Xenopus tropicalis: one gene and its partner. The protein of the gene in region 2 purifies or fractionates together with the protein of the main gene of each other region. This does not show direct contact. Links are inferred from orthologs where the notes say so. Each region holds a gene or a part of one and is shown on either strand. Other genes may lie near its edges.

What was found. The genes of interacting proteins can lie anywhere in the genome.
Region 1: the proteins of clk3 (region 2) and tnpo3 purify together in Homo sapiens (affinity purification with mass spectrometry; 4 studies listed by BioGRID and IntAct, counting the BioPlex papers as one, with this or other methods). This does not show direct contact. The link is inferred for Xenopus tropicalis from reciprocal best matches to the Homo sapiens genes CLK3 and TNPO3.

Annotation. Positions count from the first base shown.
Region 1 is NC_030679.2:87,730,904-87,741,165, forward strand, and holds the end of tnpo3 (transportin-3), read right to left. Parts: intron 9,070-10,262; coding exon 8,929-9,069; intron 8,219-8,928; coding exon 8,102-8,218; intron 7,876-8,101; coding exon 7,781-7,875; intron 6,614-7,780; coding exon 6,457-6,613; intron 5,655-6,456; coding exon 5,487-5,654; intron 4,501-5,486; coding exon 4,388-4,500; intron 2,730-4,387; coding exon 2,669-2,729; 3' UTR 2,638-2,668; intron 2,075-2,637; 3' UTR 1,355-2,074; downstream 1-1,354. UniProt on the Homo sapiens protein: Importin, which transports target proteins into the nucleus. Specifically mediates the nuclear import of splicing factor serine/arginine (SR) proteins, such as RBM4, SFRS1 and SFRS2, by recognizing phosphorylated SR domains.
Region 2 is NC_030679.2:94,247,223-94,258,003, forward strand, and holds the start of clk3 (dual specificity protein kinase CLK3), read right to left. Parts: upstream 6,445-10,781; 5' UTR 6,401-6,444; intron 1-6,400. UniProt on the Homo sapiens protein: Dual specificity kinase acting on both serine/threonine and tyrosine-containing substrates. Phosphorylates serine- and arginine-rich (SR) proteins of the spliceosomal complex.

The DNA of each region.
Region 1 (10,262 bases), about 6.5 Mb from region 2:
GGCACTTCATCAGAGCAGATATACGCAGGCCAAGAAAAGGGCTGTAGCCTTAACATCATCTAGGAAATGACAGCACACACACTCTTTTTATGAAATGAACCTTCTATAAATGTCTGTTTTCCAGATAGTTCCCCTACAATGACTTTGGATTTGGATTAATATACAGGCCTAAAAAACAGAAGTAGCATACACATTTAGAAATGAGTTTAAGATTAAGTGAAATGTTAATGTATCTTTACAACTAATACTTTCATTGTTCACAAAAAAAAAAAAATATATATATATATATATATATAATTATATGGGCAGACATGCCCATTAACAGGATCGGACTGGGCCGGTAGGGCACTGGGAAAAAACCCGCTGGGCCCCACCAACCCAGGCCTGAACCTTTCCAGCCACTTAGGCCTCACCCCATTATAATGCGCTGCAAGTTTAACACCACAACACGATGGCGTGCGCGCTTGCAGGGGGTTGAGGTGGCAGCCCTGCAGGTTGGGGTGTTCGCAACGGGGGTGGGGGCCCCGGAGGTGGCAGCCCCGGACACTCCAGCCAAACACTGCCCTTTAAGGATATTTTTCTTTTTGCTTACACCTTTTTACACCTTTTGTTAACAATCACCAGCTTCTCCTGTCGGCAGTGCCATAAAAAAAATCTCTCAAATACTAGATCTGTCTCACATAGACACTGAGTGATAGCCTGTAACTAACTTTCACCACCCATAAAGCAAGGAATGCCATGCTACTGCCAGAAAGGAAGCATTGACCCTGAGTTGCAAATAAAATATTTTTCATGTCAAAAAACCCCTAACTGCAACTCTTTGTAAAAGTATACTTTTGCTCACAAACACCACACTTTTTTTCTGACAGAAAGTCATCAGCATCCCTTTAATGTGACCCATTTCAACCATGCGATGTGCAGTTGCATCGTGGATCTTAATCCCAGGTCAGTACTAACATTTCCATCCCACAGGCCAATTATCAGCTACTTCACATTTGGGGCCAGATTATAAAACAATGGCATACAATCAGGTCTACAGAAATGGGGTCACAGAAATACCTTGTAGGACCACATCCAGCCTGCAGACTACCAGTTAGACAGCTCTATCCTAGTTCAACTGAGATTGTAACCCAACCTTTGTACATTTGCACCATGACCCTCAGTATGGTCCTAGATCAAAGGGTTAGGGCAAGAAATAAATTAAAAGAGGCAGCACAAGTTTTATGTGCCAATCAGTTGTGTATATATTAATGACTTAACTCCTTCAAATCTGTTCTTGTGCATGAAGGTGGAAATAGAAGCCAACAGAAGCCAAATGCGAATAAATAAAAAAAAAAAAAAGGATGACTTCATCTCATTTTTTAAATTTTATTTTGCACGTTTGTCTTGTTTCATTTCACAGAAAGTTTAGCTCCATTATTTCAGTTTTTCTGTTTGCTGCCACGCAAATCCCAACTCCATCGGCCATTGATATTTAAACGGCTGTATTTTCTTTTTTTTTTTCATTTTATTCCTTTTTCTTTTTTTCTTTATATTTTGTTTATTTTTTTTATTTTAAAACGAGTCCATCAAGGAAAGCTCTAACCCCTTTATCCCCACCTCCTTTACCTGATTCATCCCATCTCAAAATTCTAATGCGGTGCCCAGGGACCCCACACTGCTTTGAGAACCCCTTCATCCCCGAGGTCTAGGAATACCCGGCTCTACTGGGGGAATCCCTTGCCAGTGTACAGCTGGCTGGCTGGCTGCTCACAGATTGCCTTATTGCTGTGGAAGAGGACAGAGTGGCTTCGTCTTATGGCCATTGCAATTCACCACAGCTCTGTACGGAACATTGACCCTGTTCAGAAGTGAAGGGTTTAAACTTTAAAGCTCTTTTTTTCCCAGTTTTCATTTTAGATTCTTCAGCACACGTAACACAGGGACGCTTTCCTCAAAGCTCGCCTGATATTCATTTCGCTGACTATTGCTCTGCGTCCCCCTTTTGGCATGACACACACTAGGGGGTTATAGAAGCCGTTCCACAATGGTTCTCTGAAGGTGCCATCTGAGTAGACTGGGTAACCTGCCATCGCTGAGGGTAAAGAAGAGCACAACTGTAAGCAAAGTGAACCCCAGCAGGAAAAATTTACAGTTTCTCTCATATGCAGTCCAGTAACTACCCAATAAACTAATGCAAACACCAAACTCAAATCGACATTTCTTTGAACTACTGATCTTCTGTTACTTTTACTAGGAAATTACCTGGTAATGTTGTTTTTCTTTTAAAAAGTATTAGACACAATTCCCTGCAAACTATAACAGATTGATCCCCGCTGTAAAAACTGATGAAAGACACATTTGTGTGACTATCACTAGAGTATGAAGAAAAGCCCTGGCAACAAAATGCCAGGCAATAACCTGCCATGATAGCACCCTTCTGCATGTCACACTATGCATATTGTTGTATTTTAGGCCTAGTCTGCATTTCCATGCACCAGATTAATCAGCCACAAGTGCCTTTAGCTTTCCTTTCCTAACCTGGATATAAAATTGCAAGTGGTATTGTGGCCAGCAGGGATTTGACCGATGTCATTTAGCTAAAGAGAGACTAATATATGGACAGCGGTATTTTTAAGGAACTAGTTCTATACGTACCTATGAAGGCAGGCCTTACGAGGGAGCACAGCTATCGGAATAACCTGGTGAAATCTCTCAGAGCCCAACATACCTGTTTACATTCCTCAGCACTGAAAAAAACAAATACAACAATCCCAACCATAAAGAATTATGATGAAATAAACAAGTAGTATCAAGCCCTGTTCGGTTTGCAACTGGATGCATATATACCAGATCTTTAGTAAAATACATATTCTTTGAAAAGCCTAATAACTATGAATACCAGTATGATATTGTGTAACATATTTAAAACAATGAAAAAAATACAAAAAGGTTAAATTTTATGTTGTGAGGCAAAAAGCAAAAAGTTGAAATAAAACTGGTTAACACATCACACATATTAAGGCATTTCTGTATTTAAAGTTGCCTAACATGCCTAGATATGATTGGGCAGTTTGCCCAATTTTGACCATATGTCAGCGTGGGGTTTGGTTTTGAGAGATGATCTATTACTGGATATGTAATCTTCCAAGTACCGTGGCAACAGGATCACAGTACATCAGCAGATGAGAAAGTGAAGGAAAGGCAGAGATCCCCTTTACACCCAGCATCCAGTTCATTTTTTTAAAAAAACAAAAAAAAAACATCCTAGAGGAAAAGTGATCTTATTCATTAGGGGTACAAATAGTCACACCCCTCCCCAGTGATTTTAATGTTTGTTCACTCTTCCTCTGCCAACCAAAATTAGAAAAGTGAATATCCTTCTGGTATGCTGCCATCAGTAGGTTCATTTTGGGTCAGAAATGTGCTTTTACTTCTGATGGCTTATAAAACATCTTCTCAAACTTTAGCCAGAATAAACATACACTTTTCAGAAAAGAGGGAAGTTTAGAGACATCACAGAGTATATGAAGCCTCTAAAAACCACTAAAGCCCACCTCCAAACCACTCCGCGTGCCCGCACCCAGGTGGTTACTTTCGTTTTTTAGTGCAGGCACATGGCGCAGCAGAGGCAAGCAGATTCGCTGCTCCCAGCCTGACTAAAAAACACAAGGGTTGAGAGCAGCAGATATATGCACCGTGTACCCATGCCCTAATGGTGAAGGCAGACAGAGCTGTTATCTGTTATGCAACATGTGTGCCATCCCACTGGCGATTTACATTCTTGCTGGTGGGATGGCATTGCAGGGAGATAAGTTACTTGCGGCAACGAAGATTTGTTGCGGGGCGACTAATCTCCCCGTCTGTCACTGCGCTAAACACTTACAGAAGCAATATTAGCATATTAGCAACTAATTCTGATGTCAAAATATATTTTAAAAAATTCTCTGTTATGACTCTGTTATTTACAGTTTGGTCCAGGCAAAGAGGATACTACAAAAAACGGGGAGGAGTAAAATTATGATGGGTAAAGGCATAAGTGATGTAATTTTTGTGCTTTCTTAATGGAGCTATAACCCTTAGATCAACAAAAAGTAGTGAAAACATTCCATGTAAGTGCAGTCCTGTTTGCATTGATGCCATTCAGTTAATTCAACAAATCACATGAACGTCTCCCCATCACATCTATCAGGGGTAATGACATGGCTCTATATTCCTGACTGAATTGCTGGACCAAAGAGAAATAACTGACACCGATTCACATCAAATGGAGCTGAAAATGAATCATATATACATTGTATTTTAGCAAAACTACTATTTCAGTGAAGACTGACTTGACTAAACTGTGTCTAATATGAATATTTCCTAGTAGCCATATTCTTTTCTGTTTAAGAAATTATGCTCGTACCTTGTGACTTGTTTGTGGAAATCTGTTAATTGTTTGTGTGTGACTGTTGCTGCTCCCACTGCCATGTCCTTTGGTAAGTTCTTCAGAGAAGCTTCCAACCAACGACAAAATGTCTGTAAACACAAATTGTTTCTCAAATTCTGTACTTCCCCAGCAAAAAAATGATACATTCCCATGCTATAGTAAAATACATATATATCTTTATATAAGGCAGGGATCCCCAACCTTTCTTACTTGTGAGCCACAGTCAAATGTAAAATGACTTGGAGAGCAACACAAGCACCATAAAGGTTCAAGGAGGTGCCAAATAAGGGTTACGATTGGCTATTAGGGGCCTCTATGCACACTATCAGCTTACAGGAGGCTTTATTTGGCAGTAAATCTTGTTTTTATTCAGCCAAAACTTGCCACCAAGTCAGGAATTGAAAAATAACTACCGGTACTTGGTTTTGAGGCACTGAGAGTAACATCCAAGGGGTTGGGGAGCAACATGTTGCTCACGAGCCACTGGTTGGGGATCACTGATATAAGGGAATGGGTGGTAATAGAAAAGGGCTTTAAAGGACATCAACCCAAAAAATAAGGATGTAGGCTGAAGGCATGCTAAGGACAGCTGACTACTGCTATGTTTTATTTGAAATAACTTTTAAAGCACTAAATCCATATTGGAAAGTTGCTTAGAATTATATTTTCTTTTATTAGATTCACTTAGATTCCAAGCTCTACAGGGCAGGGACCTCCTTCCTACTTTGTTTAACACCACATGGCACTTAATCTCTGTATATTTATACTTAATTATTGTATTTATTATAACACTTGTCCTCCCAGTGTGTAATTGTGTATATTGTAAGATTGTACAGCACTGCCTATCCTTATTTAAACATACATATTACGTATGTAATAAAACCTTATTTTTTGGGTTGATGTCCTTAAAAAGATTGTTTCTTTGGAATGCATTATTCTAAATGCCTACACAAGTGATGCCTACCTTGCCCCTGGAATCTCTTACAATTAGAACTAGTGCAAATGAAGGCCTCCAATACTTGCCATAAAATGGATGTATTTTCTGTGTGCTAAAATTATCTGTGTTTATACTTACCGGCCTATTAAAGACCATAGCTTCCCAGAGAACCTCTGCCACATCAGGGAGCGTGTAGGGTGGAAGGCAGAAGCAGCAAGCATGGATAAGCTGGCTTACCAACTGCTGCCCTACTTGAGTCAGAACTTGTTGGATTAAGTCCTTACGAATCTCAAAGTTTTCTTCATGCTGTATAGAAACATTGAAGGCTTATTGTAAAAGTGGAGTTGTTACGGTGACACAGCAATCTTGGTACCATGTACTGGGGTCCCTATCCAGTTTTGTATTAAAGTCTGTTGCATGCAACCGAGTAATGAAGTTTGCATTCCCTAGTAAACCCATAGTAAGCAGTTAAGTGGGTGCTGCTAAAACACTTTGAGCCCACAGAGCAAAACAGACTGGCTCCCCATCCCCCTACAATTACAGTGTGCATCTGTTGAACAGAATTCTAAGACTTTATGTTAAATTAATGAGATAAGAGAATTTACTGCATTTCCTTTTAAGAGATTATCAAGAAAAAAATTAGTTTTGACAGATTTTAGCCGTAACTTTCTGCAGACACTCCTTGGTGGCCAGAACATTACATCTGTCTCCTCTAGCTTACATTCCTCTCTGCATGGTGGCCATATTATAACAGAAGGTATAGAAAAGGATACTTATCTGCAGCACATAAAAATTATGAACAATGTTACATAGTTACATAGGGTTGAAAAAAGACCCCAAAAAAAGCACACACAACCTATACTTACTAATCTATACTATCATATACATAAAATAAATAAATAAATATAAATAAATCACAATAGCCTTTGGATACTATGCTTGTTCAAGAACTCATCCAGGCCCCTCTTAAAGGCACGTTGAACCAAGTTTTCCTCTGAATTAAGTCAAATAACTTATTTCTGCCAGCAAAGCAATTACAGTGTGGAAAAGAAATGAACATAAATAGGGAGGGAAAAGATAAAAATGTATTATGTGCTAAAGCACTTACATCATTGGACACCCCGGTGTGTATTAGATCACGCAGGAACTTCATGACGCTACAGTTGGCATCCCGGTGGTCTAGTGTAGAGGCAGCTATAGCCCACCGCAACACATGGATCACAACCTGACTGCGCAGCAGGACGATGGGACAGCGCTGTACGAACCTGGAAGGGAGTGATATGGGAAAATATGGAAAGAGATATGGAATAGAGTCAAAACACCCCTGTCAACTTGTCACTAATCTTTAAAGGAGAAAGAAAGGTAAAAACTAAGAAAGCTTTATCAGAAAGGTCTATGTAAATACAGCCATAAGCACTCACAGAAACGCTGCACTGACTTCTCTGTCAAAAGATTTGTTGCGTCTGTTTTCCTCTGCCAGAGACATGCAGCTCTCTCCTGCTCCCCCCTCCCTCAAGAATGCTAAGAACTCACTCCCCCCCCTTAGGAATGTGGATCTGAGCCAATCAGCAGGAAGCTGACTCAGTCTTACTAACTGAGCATGTTCACTTGGTCTGGGTGTCTGTGCAGGATTGAGGCATTATGGGAACTTTCTTTACACAGCTCAGCGTTTTTTCTTCCTGTTTGGCTTCTGATTATCTGAACAGGCGAAATATGGGGAGACTTAAGGGCACTATTGAGACAACTAAAGGTATGCCTGCAGCTTGAGATCTTTATTAGCCTTTCCTTCTCCTTTAAAGCAGCAAATGGAAAGAATGTTGCACTCACACAAGTGAACCTTAGAGCTAAAATGCTTGCTTGAGAATTGAGTAGTGGGGGCAGGTGGGACAGAGGGGTTCATATGCTGCTGTATTACACCCTAGGGCAGTGGCAGACAAAATGCCCATTGAACAAAATAAGAACCCTGCCCAATATTAGGTTCTACTTGCATAATTAATAACAGATGTCATAAATCACAATAATGTAAGCTTCTGAAGAACAGTTACTAGGACAGGACTGAATTAACAATAGCTTGAGGAAACATTATTATGTTACCGTAAGCTGTTTTACCCATTGAGTGACACCTACATATAGGACCATGAATTTCTAGCTCTGTAGATAGTAGGATTCTCTATGGAATTTGTTTGCTATAACAACTTGTTTGCAGACAGATGCATCCTTTGTATTCAGCCTGGATAAAATATGCTTTTTATCATGTAATTCCATATACTGGTGGTTTTACAATTCCTGTAAGCATTCCTATTCTTCCCTCTTCTTGTTTGCAAGCCAAAAATGTTATCTGGTTGTCAGGGTCACCTATAGTGAGGCTTCAATTTTATTCTTATCCTTGAGAACAATCCACAGGCATGTCTGCACTGCACTGCCAAGGTTACCTGGTAAACAGTCGGAATAGATCATCTACAGTGTCTGGGTGATTTCGGAGACCATTTTGCTGCTCCAGTAGTTGAAACGTTGGGACACATAAAGCCTAAAATTAGAATAGCATGAGATATATTACTTTGCCAATACAGCAAATGTTAAGGAGATTTGATTATTTAATTTTTGTTACTGATACTAAGTGTACAAAACGGTCACAGGACAGTAAAATGCTAAAAATGATGAGGATGCCAGAGACTGATTCAAACACTGCAGATGACAACATTTAGTTTTTGTTCCTTCTTGGTTAGTACAATGCAGAACAGAAAAAAGCCGACCTGTAACATATCCAACAGTCCCTGCTGACAGCCCTCCTCCATTCCATATTCATCCACTAGGATACTGCCAAGGTACAGGAAGCATGAGTGCTGGTGAATATGGTACACCTCTACCATCTGAAAAAATTAAAATAAAAAAACAAATATAACCAAACACCCGTTCATATATACACAAAAATGCATTTCTTTTTCTTCCAGGCATTTCTTTTTTTTGGGGGGAGACGGCTTAAAACTTAGCTACAATGCAGTCTGTGCTGTAACCCAGGACAAAGCAATTATCAGTATGTATATAGCAGCTCCTGATCCTAACCGATATATATGGTCTCATTTACAAAACAGGCACAATCCCAATTTTTCTTTCCATGTCACACTTTGCCTTGCTGGCTGTACTTCCTATAGAGACAATGCACTGCAAAAAGGAGCTTTGCAAGCACTGCATGCTATGGGGCATTGGATAGGTGTTCCCAAGCAATAAGTGCAGGGCTTTATTTACTCTGAGTGCTGCACTCTGGTTAGTACTATATTTTTACTGCAGTAGCTTAGACTACAGCTTCCACCTGGCACGCATAACAGCACAAATGCTTATGGGTGAAATTTTTGTTTTGTGAATGAGCCCTAATATGTGTTGCATCTAGATAGATACTAAAAGATTTGTATCAGCACCTCTTTTATAAAATATTTAAGTTAACCATTTTTAGGAGACAGTTTATTAATAAGTTCAATTTAATTTTAACATTAATTCAGACCTATTGAAAAAAGTGTTAATGGACGTGATATTCTAGTTAGCATAGCCTGGTAGCACTAAATGTTGGGATGCATCACAGTACCTGTGTTACTAATGGTTGGAGGAGCGCAGCAGATCCTTTCCCTACACAGCGCACAGCAAAACGAAGGCATCGGCAACAGCGCTCAACAATTCGATTGTCAGCGCGGTGCTTGTTCATGGTTTCTGACAACACAGGCCAGATCTTTTAAAAGAAAAAAAAAACAAAACAAAAAACTCATTATCATTATCATCATCATTATTATGTTCAATAACTGGCATACAATTGTTATAGGAAACAAAGCATTGTTTTCATGTGAGTAGGCATAGGGTTATACATCCCACCATATCAAAAGAGAACAAAACCCTTATAGCTTTCCCCTTCCACACTATTGGGTCCCCCTAAAATTCAGCTTTTGCTGTACTTGGTCCTAAAACTAAACAAGAAGACAAGTGAGATTAGCCACCCTCTGAATATGCAACAGGTCCTATTCTCTGAGATCTCTCAAGACAGGACTGAGTGGCCTGGATATTATTGTGGTGTGGTCAGAAAAATGCTGGGCCATTTCCTAATGTTTCTCACAGCCTATAACTATGCCAGTACAAGTAACCCCTATACTAATCACAACTGAGTAAAAAATTACAGGTGCAATGTCCCTTAAAGAGGACCTAAAAAAAAAAAAAAAAAAAAAAAGACATAAAAAGCTGTATAATATAATCCTTTTCAAATGAAACACGAAACCCAAAATCATTTTTATATTAATACATCCAAACCCATTATAAAGGCAATTAAAAATCCCAGCTATCAATCACATATTGCTTGCCCAGCCTGTATGCCTTAGGCATAGAGGCGGGGCAGACAATACCTTTAGCTTTCCGTTCAGCACTACCTATATGTCAGTGCACATCTCACTTTTCCCCTCCCTCTTCCTCATCATTTAATTGTGTAGCCAGTGCATGGGCACGGGCATCTGGTCCCCCATTCTGGCACATAAACTAGATTTTGGCATGATACAAAGCTTGGCTTCATAAGTGTCCACAAAATGGTGCCTGCCTGCTTGCAGTGATTGAGTAATTCCAAGACGGAAGGAAACAAGATATATTATATTATTTATATAGAGTAAGTAAAGTTTATTTTGCTCAACTAACAATATAGAAAATAATTTGGAGTTATTTCTTAGGGTGACAGGTCCCCTTTAAATGCTTTTTTTTTTTTTTTAAATAAACTTCAACTTACCTGCTTCACACCTAAACAGCAAGAAAATCTAGCAATCACTGCACAGAGTAGCCGGCTGCATAACATCTCCTGTGCTACCCTGATCTAAATTAGCAGCGTAACAAAAAGCATACAAAAGAAATTGACATGTGCTTGTGTGGTAGGTAACTCAGGCTGTAAAC
Region 2 (10,781 bases):
GTGTGCACAATGCTTTACATTTCTACAGTACAGTAAAAATATTACAATACCATGTGTCAAAAGACAAGAATGGGGAATTATTACATTTTATTTAATTTCAAAATATCAATTACAGGAAGACTGAGACTGAGCACATGGGAGCAATCAGGAGACTGAACTGTTCTTAATGATTCGGCCTATGGTAACATATACTGGGCACATTTTCCTTCTGTCTCTGCTCATGCTTATTTATCATATTTGGAGATAGGCCCTTATGAGTTGTCAGTTCCTTGTTTGTTTGATTAATTGGATTCATTTGAGGACTGTGTTACACAAATATGGATTGGTTTCCTTTTAAATTTCCTCGAACACCTATAAATGTTTGTAACTTGTAATTTGCTATACACTTGATAAAGGGCATGCAGCCCAGAACATGTTATGGGAATAAACACTTATTTGCAGCAAGCGCTTCTATTACGGCTTTCTCCCAGCTCCAATCTTATTTTGCAGTACCATACAAAGAGACTTTTTTACATGACAAGATTCGGCTAACCTTTGCAAAAAGCAACCACCTGCCTATTTAAATTAAATCATTTCAGAGACTTGGTGTAGTAACACATGACTTGAAAGACAAATGCAAGTAGTTTGCCTACAATAAAAAAAAAAGCCTAAATGCTTTGGCACACAAATGTATTTGGACAAAACAAGCTACAGCTATACACCTTCCCTTACTTATAAGAAAAACATTTTTTGTAGCTGTAAATATTGTAAAATGCTAATAGCTTAATATATGACCCAAAAGCAAGACAAGAGCAACACCAGAGCAATCTAGCTACCCACAGGTTACACAGGAGAGAACTGTAACCCACCCCTTAAATTGCCAAACACATGTGTCCTCAATACAGAAACAGTTTTGCAAGCAGAATGGGTATACAATCTGGTTTTCACAGTAACACTTTAGACAGACAGACAGACAGACCTCAAAGGAGAAGAAAAGGCTAATAAAGAGTCTCAAGCTACAGGCATACCTTCAGTTGTCTCAATAGTGCCCTTAAGTCTCCCCATATTTTTCCCGTTCAGATGATCAGAAGCCAAACAGGAAGAAAAAACGCTGAGCTGCGTAAAGAAAGTTCCCATAATGCCTCACTCCTGCACCGAGACAGAGACCGAGACCAAGTGTACATGCTCTGTTTGTAAGACTATGAATCAGCTTCCGGCTGATTGGCTCAGATCCACATTCCTAAGGGGGGCGGAGTGAGTTCTTAGCATTCTTGAGGGAGGGGGGAGCAGGAGAGGGGAGAGAGCAGAGAGCTGCGTGTCTCTGGCACATGAATTACAGACACAAGAAATCTTTTGACAGAGAAGTCAGTGCAGAGTTTCTGTGAGTGCTTATGGCTGTATTTACATTGACCTTTCTGATACAGCTTACTTAGTTTTTACCTTTCTTTCTCCTACAATGCTGACAAAGCTAATGCGCCTAAAGATTATAGACTAGTAAACCTTGTACCTTTAGCAGAGATATTTTAATGGGATATTAAAATACGTAGTTCATTGTTAAAGAGCTAATGCTTTTCTATATATAGCATAGAAGTACAATTAGGACATAAACAGTAACACCATTAAGTGGAAATATTTTGTATCTCTTCAACCCTAATTTCAAGCAACAACTGATACATTCAGTGTTAAAAATGTGTTATACACCAAGGCTACAGTAAGAAGCAGCCTGCATACCATATCTAAATCCATTTTTGGGTAACTAAAGACAGCAAAAATGGTAAATGTACTCGCTGACATACAGCAGCAGTAAAGACTGGGAAAATCACTTCACGTTTAAAAAAATGCGAAACAAGATATATTCTATTTATAAATTATTTGTTAAGTTACATTTGTAATATAGATTCCATGTTTACAATGATGACAGTATCATAGCAGGTAGCATATTACATCTACACAAGCCCAGTAGCACAGTAAAATGCCGGTGTACCCAGTTAGACCTGTGAATGTCTCGGCCTCATCAATGCTAGCCATTATTTTAAAATTATTTACTATCTTACATTCAGTGACTCAACAATAGATTATTCTGTCTAAGAATCAGGCAGGAGTAACAATAATGAAATTAATGTTAAATGCAAGTCAGGCTGCCACCATTAGTCACTTTCACAGAATGCTATAAAACAGGCCAAGCTTGTTTTAATATCCTTTTATCTGAATTACTCTCCTCTTTATTGATTAATTTTTACATTTAATCTGCAGACTACAAATTTAAGGCTTGGGTCAGATCAGGGTGGAATTTTATATACTCGATAAGACAGAGTTGTTTTGTTTTTTTTTGTTTTTTTTTAAGAAGACCTATACCTACAAAATGAATACTTAACTAACAGATAATATAAATATCAAACAATCTTTTTATACATAAACATATTCGTAAATGTTACCCTTTTGCAGACCTTGGACCAACTTTTTTGATACTCTGATTTCTCCCTCAGATTACCTGACAGGAAATAATGCAGGTTGTAACCGTAACAGAAAGAAGTGTGGGAGTCAAAAGCAAAGCTCTGTCCATTCATTGGCTGATGTAACCTAGCATGTATGTGTGAGCACAGTGAACTGTATGAGGCAGAGGGCAGCCCATGAATTGGCAATATTCTGTTTAGGGTTTTCCAATGGCATATACTACTAGCAAAGTCTACAACAGTTTATTTAAATTAAGCGGGATTTTACATATAGGCGATTTTATTCAATGTATTTTTATAGAGACCTGACATTTTCAGTGGTATAGTTCCCCTTTATTGAAAGGCTGGTTAAATAAACATGGAGGCAGTGGATATCAGAGATCAAATATTTCCAGGGCTCATTCCGATTGCGTAAACATGGGCATTTAAACCGACATCAACTATTTAATATTATCAATCTATTTTGGTTACAGTGTGGCACTATCCTCTCTCTTTGCCCAAAATATCCATACACATATTTACACAATATCAATTAGAGCACTGGCTATATATCCACGTCCAGCAAAATAAAACTAAATCAGAGTGAATCTGATAAGTCTGCTTGAATTATCTAGTACAGAATCACATACACTTATACAATCTGTATGAGACTGTCGCACCAAAGGAGCAACAAACCGCAGCTCTGATGTATATGAAAGAGAAATCCAATTTCAACTGCCAGTCGATTTCATTCTGTACCAGAAATGTTTTTAGTTTAGTCAGCCCACAGAGTTGGCCCAACTACAATCACTCTGTATAGAAAATGTGATGCAAATTAGTCAGATAAGGCTAATCCATTTCAAACTCCTAAATTGTCTGATCAAATGGATTGTATTTTGACAGGAATGACTATCAGCTGATTAAAGCATTTACCCATATATGACTGTACAATAACTTGGGGCAGAATTGCATGGTAAGCACTTCATATTATATATACATACACCTGTATAGAAGATCTAGACCAGTGCTGTCCAACTTCTGTGGTACCGAGGGCCGGAATTTTTCCGACCTACGTGGTGGAGGGCCGATAATGGAAGCCATTTTGACCACTCCCCTTTTTGAAACTGCACCCACTTGAAACCACACCCGTGTTATCACATGACCATACCCCATGTTTTAGTACAGCAAAAACCTGCCATACTCTGCCTTCCCTACCCGGCCTGCCTGTGCCATACTTGGCCTGCCTGTGCCATACCCTGCCTGCCTGTGCCATACCCTGCCTGCCTGTGCCATACCCTGCCTGCCCTACCCTGCCTGTGTGTACCATACTCTGCCTGCCCTACCATACTCTGCCTGCCCTACCCTGCCTGTGTGTGCCATACTCTGCTTGCCCTATGCTGTATGGCACACACAGGCAGCATACAGTGACACAGTGCTGGCACTGCTCCTACAGTCTGCACAATAACTATATATTAACAAACTTTTTAATTACAGTACTACCTCAGTATATGTTCTTTTTGTAGTGTGCAGGGATTATTTATGGGTTTCTACTGCTCCTACAGTCTGTCTGAGGTGTGAACAGGGGAACAAATTGGGTGATTACAGTCTGAACCTGAGGTGTGAACACTGCAGGGGGTGAACAATGCAGAGATTAAAAGGTGTGAACAGTACAGGGGATTACATTTTTAAACAATACAGAGGGTTTACAGCCTAAATCTGAGGTGTGAACCATGCAGGGGGCCAGTTAATCACAGTACTGATACAATTTAAAGCTTCCATAAGAGTAAAGATGGCCATACACCAGCAGATCCGCTCGCTTGGCGATGTCGCCAAGCGAGCGGATCTTCCCCCGATATCCCCACCTACGGGTGGGCGATATCGGGGACCATTTAGGTAAAAAAAATAATAATCCGATCGTTTGGCCCTGGGGCCAGACGATCGGATTATGTGGGCGGCAATGGGGCAGTCGGATCGGGGACCGCATCAACGAGCCGATGCGGTCCCCGATCCGACCAGATTTTCTAACCTGGCCGATCGAGATCTGGCCAATTTCAGGCCAGATATCGGTCGGCCAGGCCGATCTGCTCTCCCCATACACGGGCCGATTAGCTGCCGAATCGGTCCAAGGGACCGATATCGGCAGCTATAGTCGGCCCGTGTATGGCCACCTTAAGCCATCAAAGCAGCCAGACAGGTGGGGGGGCCACACGGGGGGGGGGGGGGGGGGGTCGCGGGCCGCATGCCAGTTGGACAGCACTGATCTAGACCATGTAATTCTACCAGAAGATGAGGGGGGATGTATACAGAATAACCTATCCCCTATTATAAAATATATGAATATCAGAAGTCATAGAGGAGATCCATGACTATAAAAAAGGACAAGGCTAATGGCCAAGTGCTTTTATACAAGGCAAATTCTAATAGCCTCATATTTTACAACTGGAGATGTACATTTATTTATAATACACGTTTCAGAGAGTAATGTGACTCAAATGACACTAACGCCTATTATAACTAATGGCTAACTTATTGCTAATGGAACTCCTTTGTGACTGGTAATTAGAGATGTAGCGAACTGTTTGCCGGCGAACTAATTTGCGCGAACATCGGGTGTTCGCAGGTTCGCGAACTTTTCGCGCATGTTCGCAATTTGGGTTCGCGTGGCGTTTTTCCGCTGCATTTTTTCTCGCCCTAAAAACGCCGCACAAGCCACACATGGCATTTTTCAGCAAATCCAGTTTCCATGGTGCTAATAGTGCGAAATAGCAAAAAACGCTGCGTATTTCCGCTAGGTCTGCCAGCTGCCTTTGCGTATACATAGGAATAGCTTGCATTTTTACGCAACGCTGTGTCAACAAAGTATTTTTCAGAGAAATTTTTGCCCTTGATCCCCCTCCTGCATGTCACTGTCCAGGTCGTGGCACCCTTTAAACAACTTTAAAATCAGTTTTCTGGCCAGAAATGGCTTTTCTAGGTTTTAAAGTTCGTCTTCCCATTGAAGTCTATGGGGTTTGCGAACTTTCGCACTTTTTGGCGTAGGTTCGTGAACTTTTTTTTTGAGGTTCGCTACATCCCTACTGGTAATATCTTTATATGTTACAAAATGGGGTACATTATTATATAATTCCAGTATTATATATTTTTCTTTTTGTAATGTGAAAGCAATATGCATATTGCATATGTAAATATATTTAGTTAATCTGCACAGCAACTGCAACCAGAAAAAGAACAATATTATGAATGTATAACCCCTCTGGGTCCTGTAATGCTTTGTAGCTCCCAATGCTTTAATAAAGATTTTTGATATTTAACATGGAGTGTGCATGTTACTGGATCTTTTGTGAATGCTACTTTCCTAATATAGCAAAAGCAATATGCTTAATGCTAAATCAGGAAGTGGAATGTGTAGAGCAATTTGCTTCCCAACAATTCCAAATAACGTTATGGTAGTTTATAAAATAAACCATGGAAATGGACCGTCTAGCAAGCAGGGGCGTCCAAAGCATCTACGTATTATGACGGGTTTCTTAAAGTTTACAAGGGGGCGAAAAACGAAGCTATTACGCAGGATGCCAGCACTAGCCATCTCCATCCTCTTGTGAGTGCTTTCCCAGAATGCCTGGCAGTGAGAGAACGAATGGGAGAGCCCATTACTTGGCACCCCTACACTATCCCCGCGGTTCCAATGGGCACTGGATGTGGGGAAGGCAGGCGGGAAATTCTAACGAAGAGAAACGCTAGACGTACCAACACATAACCATGTGTTCATTGCTTTACAATAAAAAAGACATAACAAATGCAGCGATATGTTTTTTCAAACGATAATATTAGCGCCCACGTTAAACAAAGATCTCATTATAAAGGTGCCGGGACTTCCGTGGCGCTAATTGGTACATCACATAATGCGTCTGTTACATTACCGGAGCCCCCAGGAAGCCTATACCAACACCCGCAAAGTAATCAGCCCCTACAGCCAACTTTAAACTTACCACATAAAACTGACGCTCGCATGGAAAACCTTCCAGGAAGTCGTGATGTCATAGCCACGTGACCAAGATGTGCGAGTGGGTGTGACGTCACGTAGAGGGCGTGCCTAGCGCCTGTCCCAGTTCAAAACCTGCGGTACGTCACACTTGAGGGAAGGGATGTCTTGCTAAGCGGCTATGGAAGAGAGCAGAAAATTCAAATATGGCAATGTGGCGATGCGCTGCGCTAGAATGGGTTTGCAAGTGGCAAATAAAAAGAGCAGCGGCTGGCGAGGAGGAACTGTTATCTGTTCCCAGATTTGCTGAGTGAAATCAGACTACACAAATCGGATAAATAAATAGATCACACCCACTTTTTGGCCACACCCCTGTAAAACGCTTCTGAAAGACAATCCAAACACTGAGTCAGGCAAACAGCTGAGAAGAGCAAGGCTTGTTTCACAACACGTATGGGAATAAAATAACTTGTGGGTCCTGACTGCCTGGCATTTTTAATGTTAACTATATTTTCCAATCAAGCACTGCATACCTTCTTCTTACAAAATGAACACAGCTCTACATATACCACTGTGTAATGGAAAGAGCTTTGTATTTTGTACTTTATTGTGCACATATCTTTGTATACTAAGGGACTGATTCATCAAAGTAAGCAAATGTCACGAAAATGCTTACGAAAAATCGTGTTAGTCACTATAATATTGCATTGGTGATCCAAAAGTCACAAAATTTTTGTATCTGAACGATCGTAAACGGCGGGAAAACCTTTCTGAATTTGATCCTTGTGTGCATGATTTTGGAAGCCTCCCATAGGACTCAATGGCACTCTGCAGCTCCAACCTGCCCCAAGGAAAGTCATGATACCGAAGCTTGAATTAATCCAAAATTTTGTTGCTTAATTTAAGTTTGCTTAAAATATGAAAAATTGCGCAAATTAGCAAAAAAAACTGCGAAAATACGCAAGGTACCAAACTATGTTTTTTTGGTATTTGGAGGCAATCATACTTTGATAAATGGGCCCCTTAGATTCCCCCCTCTCAGGGCCTCCTATCAGTCTTCCAAAGAACACTTTACGGGTTGAGGGGAATCCTGGGAGTTTTAGTTATGTAGTAGGTTATGCAGCCTGTGTATTCTTTTACTTGACATAAGTAATTTAAAATCAAGAGGGCTAATCAGAGCAGGGGAACATTCTGTTAAATGACCAAAGTTTTTTTTTTTTACCTCATAGCTACTGAATGGGCCGTAAATATTTAATAAGGTTTGTGACAAATGTGGAATGTGGACTGGAAGTAAAAAGCAGCCAAAGGCAAAAACAAAATCAAAACAACCCACATATAAACACACAACAGTCTTCTACTTTTAAATATATCAGCAAACATATTATCAGCTAACAAATATGTCCAAACTTTGTGTCCTACAGAGGCACATAAATGAAAATAGTGCATATGAATTTAAAGTCTGACACTCTGGCTGCGGCAGTATAAGAACCAGTTGTGTGTATTATGTGCCATAAGACCCCCTAACAGCAAGCAGACCCTAGGAAGTACACATTCTGACAAATCCAAAATGGGTAAATGCATTTTATTACCGCAATCTACCAAACTGCATAGATATGCTAAACAGTGTTTTTTAGGAAATATATCGTCACAAACCTTACATTTTACCCAATTATATACCTCACTTTTTTGTAACATACCAGCATAAAACTTGCTGAATATGAATGCCAGGGGACTACTGAACAGTTTGATGCCCAATATGCATAGATTTACCAAACTTATACTGTATGGCCTACATGTATGTGTATTATGTGCCATAAGACCACGTAACAGTATGGAGACCTTAGAAAACCATTTATTTTCTGAAGATACTAAGAACTTAAATGGGTAAATATGTCTCTTCTGCAAACTAGAAAGCTATGCCAAATGTTTTTTACCCCATCATATGCCAAACATTTTGTAATGCACCAACATAAAACATCCTAAATATGAATACTAGGGGTCTACTAAACAGTTGGATGTCCAATATGCATAGATTCACCAAACTATGTGGCATACAGAGGCACTCAAATGGATATACAGCAGGCAAATTTTCCAGGGGCTCCCCTATTACAAACAGCACAGCAATATTCATACAAGTTCCTTTTGGATTGTTTGGCGGTCTGGGTGCAGCGCCACAGAACCGTAGCTATGGGGAGAATACAATCAATCCAAACCATAATGGTGTGCACACCTGGTTCTGGAGCTTTTTGGTGACCTCTTTTGTTATAATTTACAAAAAGGAAAGGGGGTCTTTTTCAAGTTTTCATAGGGGGGTATTTTAGAATCTGTGGGTCAGGCAAAAGGAATTGCATTGTATACTATTTATATCAGTAATGTTAAATCAGTGAAAAAAGGTAGAAATATGGAGTTTACCTAATATAAGTACTATACATTTCAACATACCCTTGCAAAGTGCAGGGGTATATGAAGGTGAATGCTACATGTATGTAAGGAAGTCAGACAATCCTTTTAAAACCAAAAATGCCAATTGTGTTCCTCCCCTGACACGTTATATTTACGCGCGCTCAGGGGAGGACATCAGGCGGGGGGCCCTGCAGAGGGTAAGGGCCCCTGGGGCGGCTGGATAGGGATTGGCGGATACTCAGGATTGGTAATGTGAATATGCATCAACAAGGAGAGCCTGGGAAGCAGTACATATATTCTGATTATCAGAAATCACAGGGCCTATACAACAAAATTATTTGCCCCCCCCAGACCTGTTTCTAATATACATTTATTAAAACATCTGTACCATTTTTATAAATGAATAAATAAATATCTTGCCTGTGATTCTGGTACAGACAGGATATAGAATAAAGCCTGAGAAAAAAGCCTAATTTGTGCTTTTTAAGATTTGAGAAAGGAATCTCATTCAGTAATAATTTAAATTTTACCAGTGGGGAACTACACCATGAGACAAAGTTTGTACAGCTGCACAGGGCTTAGATGGGTGAAGTTTAAACTTGCCCCCCAGTCCACCCAACAAGGCCTGGATTTGTGGAGAAGACACAAAGGCCCGGGCCAAGGGCGGCACAAATTTTGGGGCGCTGCAGCACCAAAATGTTAAAATTATTGGAGCAATGGGGACCTCTCCCATTTAAACTTCTGCGCATGTGCTCTCACGGGGGGGGGGGGTGTTGCTGTTTGCGTATACATGAATAGGGACAGCCTAGGGGCGCCCGGATAAGAAATCCAGCGCTGCATCCAATCCCTATGTGACTTTACTGGGACTTACACTTCATTGACAAATAAGCAGTATACAAAGCTGTTAGAGAAAAGACCCTTCCTTCCAAAGTGCAGCTCACAGCGGGGGGGGGTCCAGTTAATCAAGTAAATGTAGCACTGCTGGGCCTTCTAAGACCCCAAAATCCACCAGGCCTGGGTCAACTGTCGCCCACCGATGCACAGAGACCACCCCCATTCCCCACCTCCTCTACCCCCTGACCAGGATCATATGCATGCGCCTCCATTTAGCTCACTTACGGAGCACTGGGGACACGAAGCGCTGAATTTTTCTGCACATCCTCTCCCCAGTTCTCTGCATGTGAGCAAAATTTAGGAATGGCAGGGTGACATGCTGCCCCTAAAATTGTGCCGCCCTAGGCCCGGGTCTTTGTGGCCTTGCCACAAATCCGGGACTGCCCCCACCCCGATGGTTGCCCTGCTTATATCTGTCACAAGACTTACCCAGTTATATGGAGATGTTATCAGTCTTCATTTTCTCTTTTTGGTGTCAGTGCTTTTTTGTAACCAGTAGAGGGAGCGCCTTTTCAATCACAATGCTCTCGATCTAGTGCAAATATTTTCCTTTTAAATGTATTTATACAGTTTAAAAAGCAAAGTATATTTATGGACAAGGCCCACCAAACTAGAAAATGGATCAGAGTGAAGCTCTGGCTAACAGTAATGACTTCATATATATCATAGTGCTGCTATTTTACTTACCTTTTCCAGGGGTCCCTATGAAGAGGGATCCTGGTAAAGGTAAGTAAAATGGCAATTCAGCGCTACTTTTTGTCCTGATACTGATGTATTTTTTTCCTAAAAGTAGAATGCCTTAGGGAAAAAATAGAGATATGTTTACTTGTCCTTTAATGTGACTGCATATAGCTAAATCTTGTGCAAAAAATGTAATTATATTTTTGCTTGCAGTATCCCTTTAACTAAGTCTAAAGCCTATAAAACATATAATACTGTTGTTTAATTTTAAAGAAATAATTAATTTAAAAGAAATAAATAAGTCACACAGTTGCCTGACACATGCTTGTCCAAGCAAGTAAATTTAACACTGCAGTCAAAACTGCACTTCTTTTATCATTACTTCTGTGCTTATGTAGCAAAGCACAGAG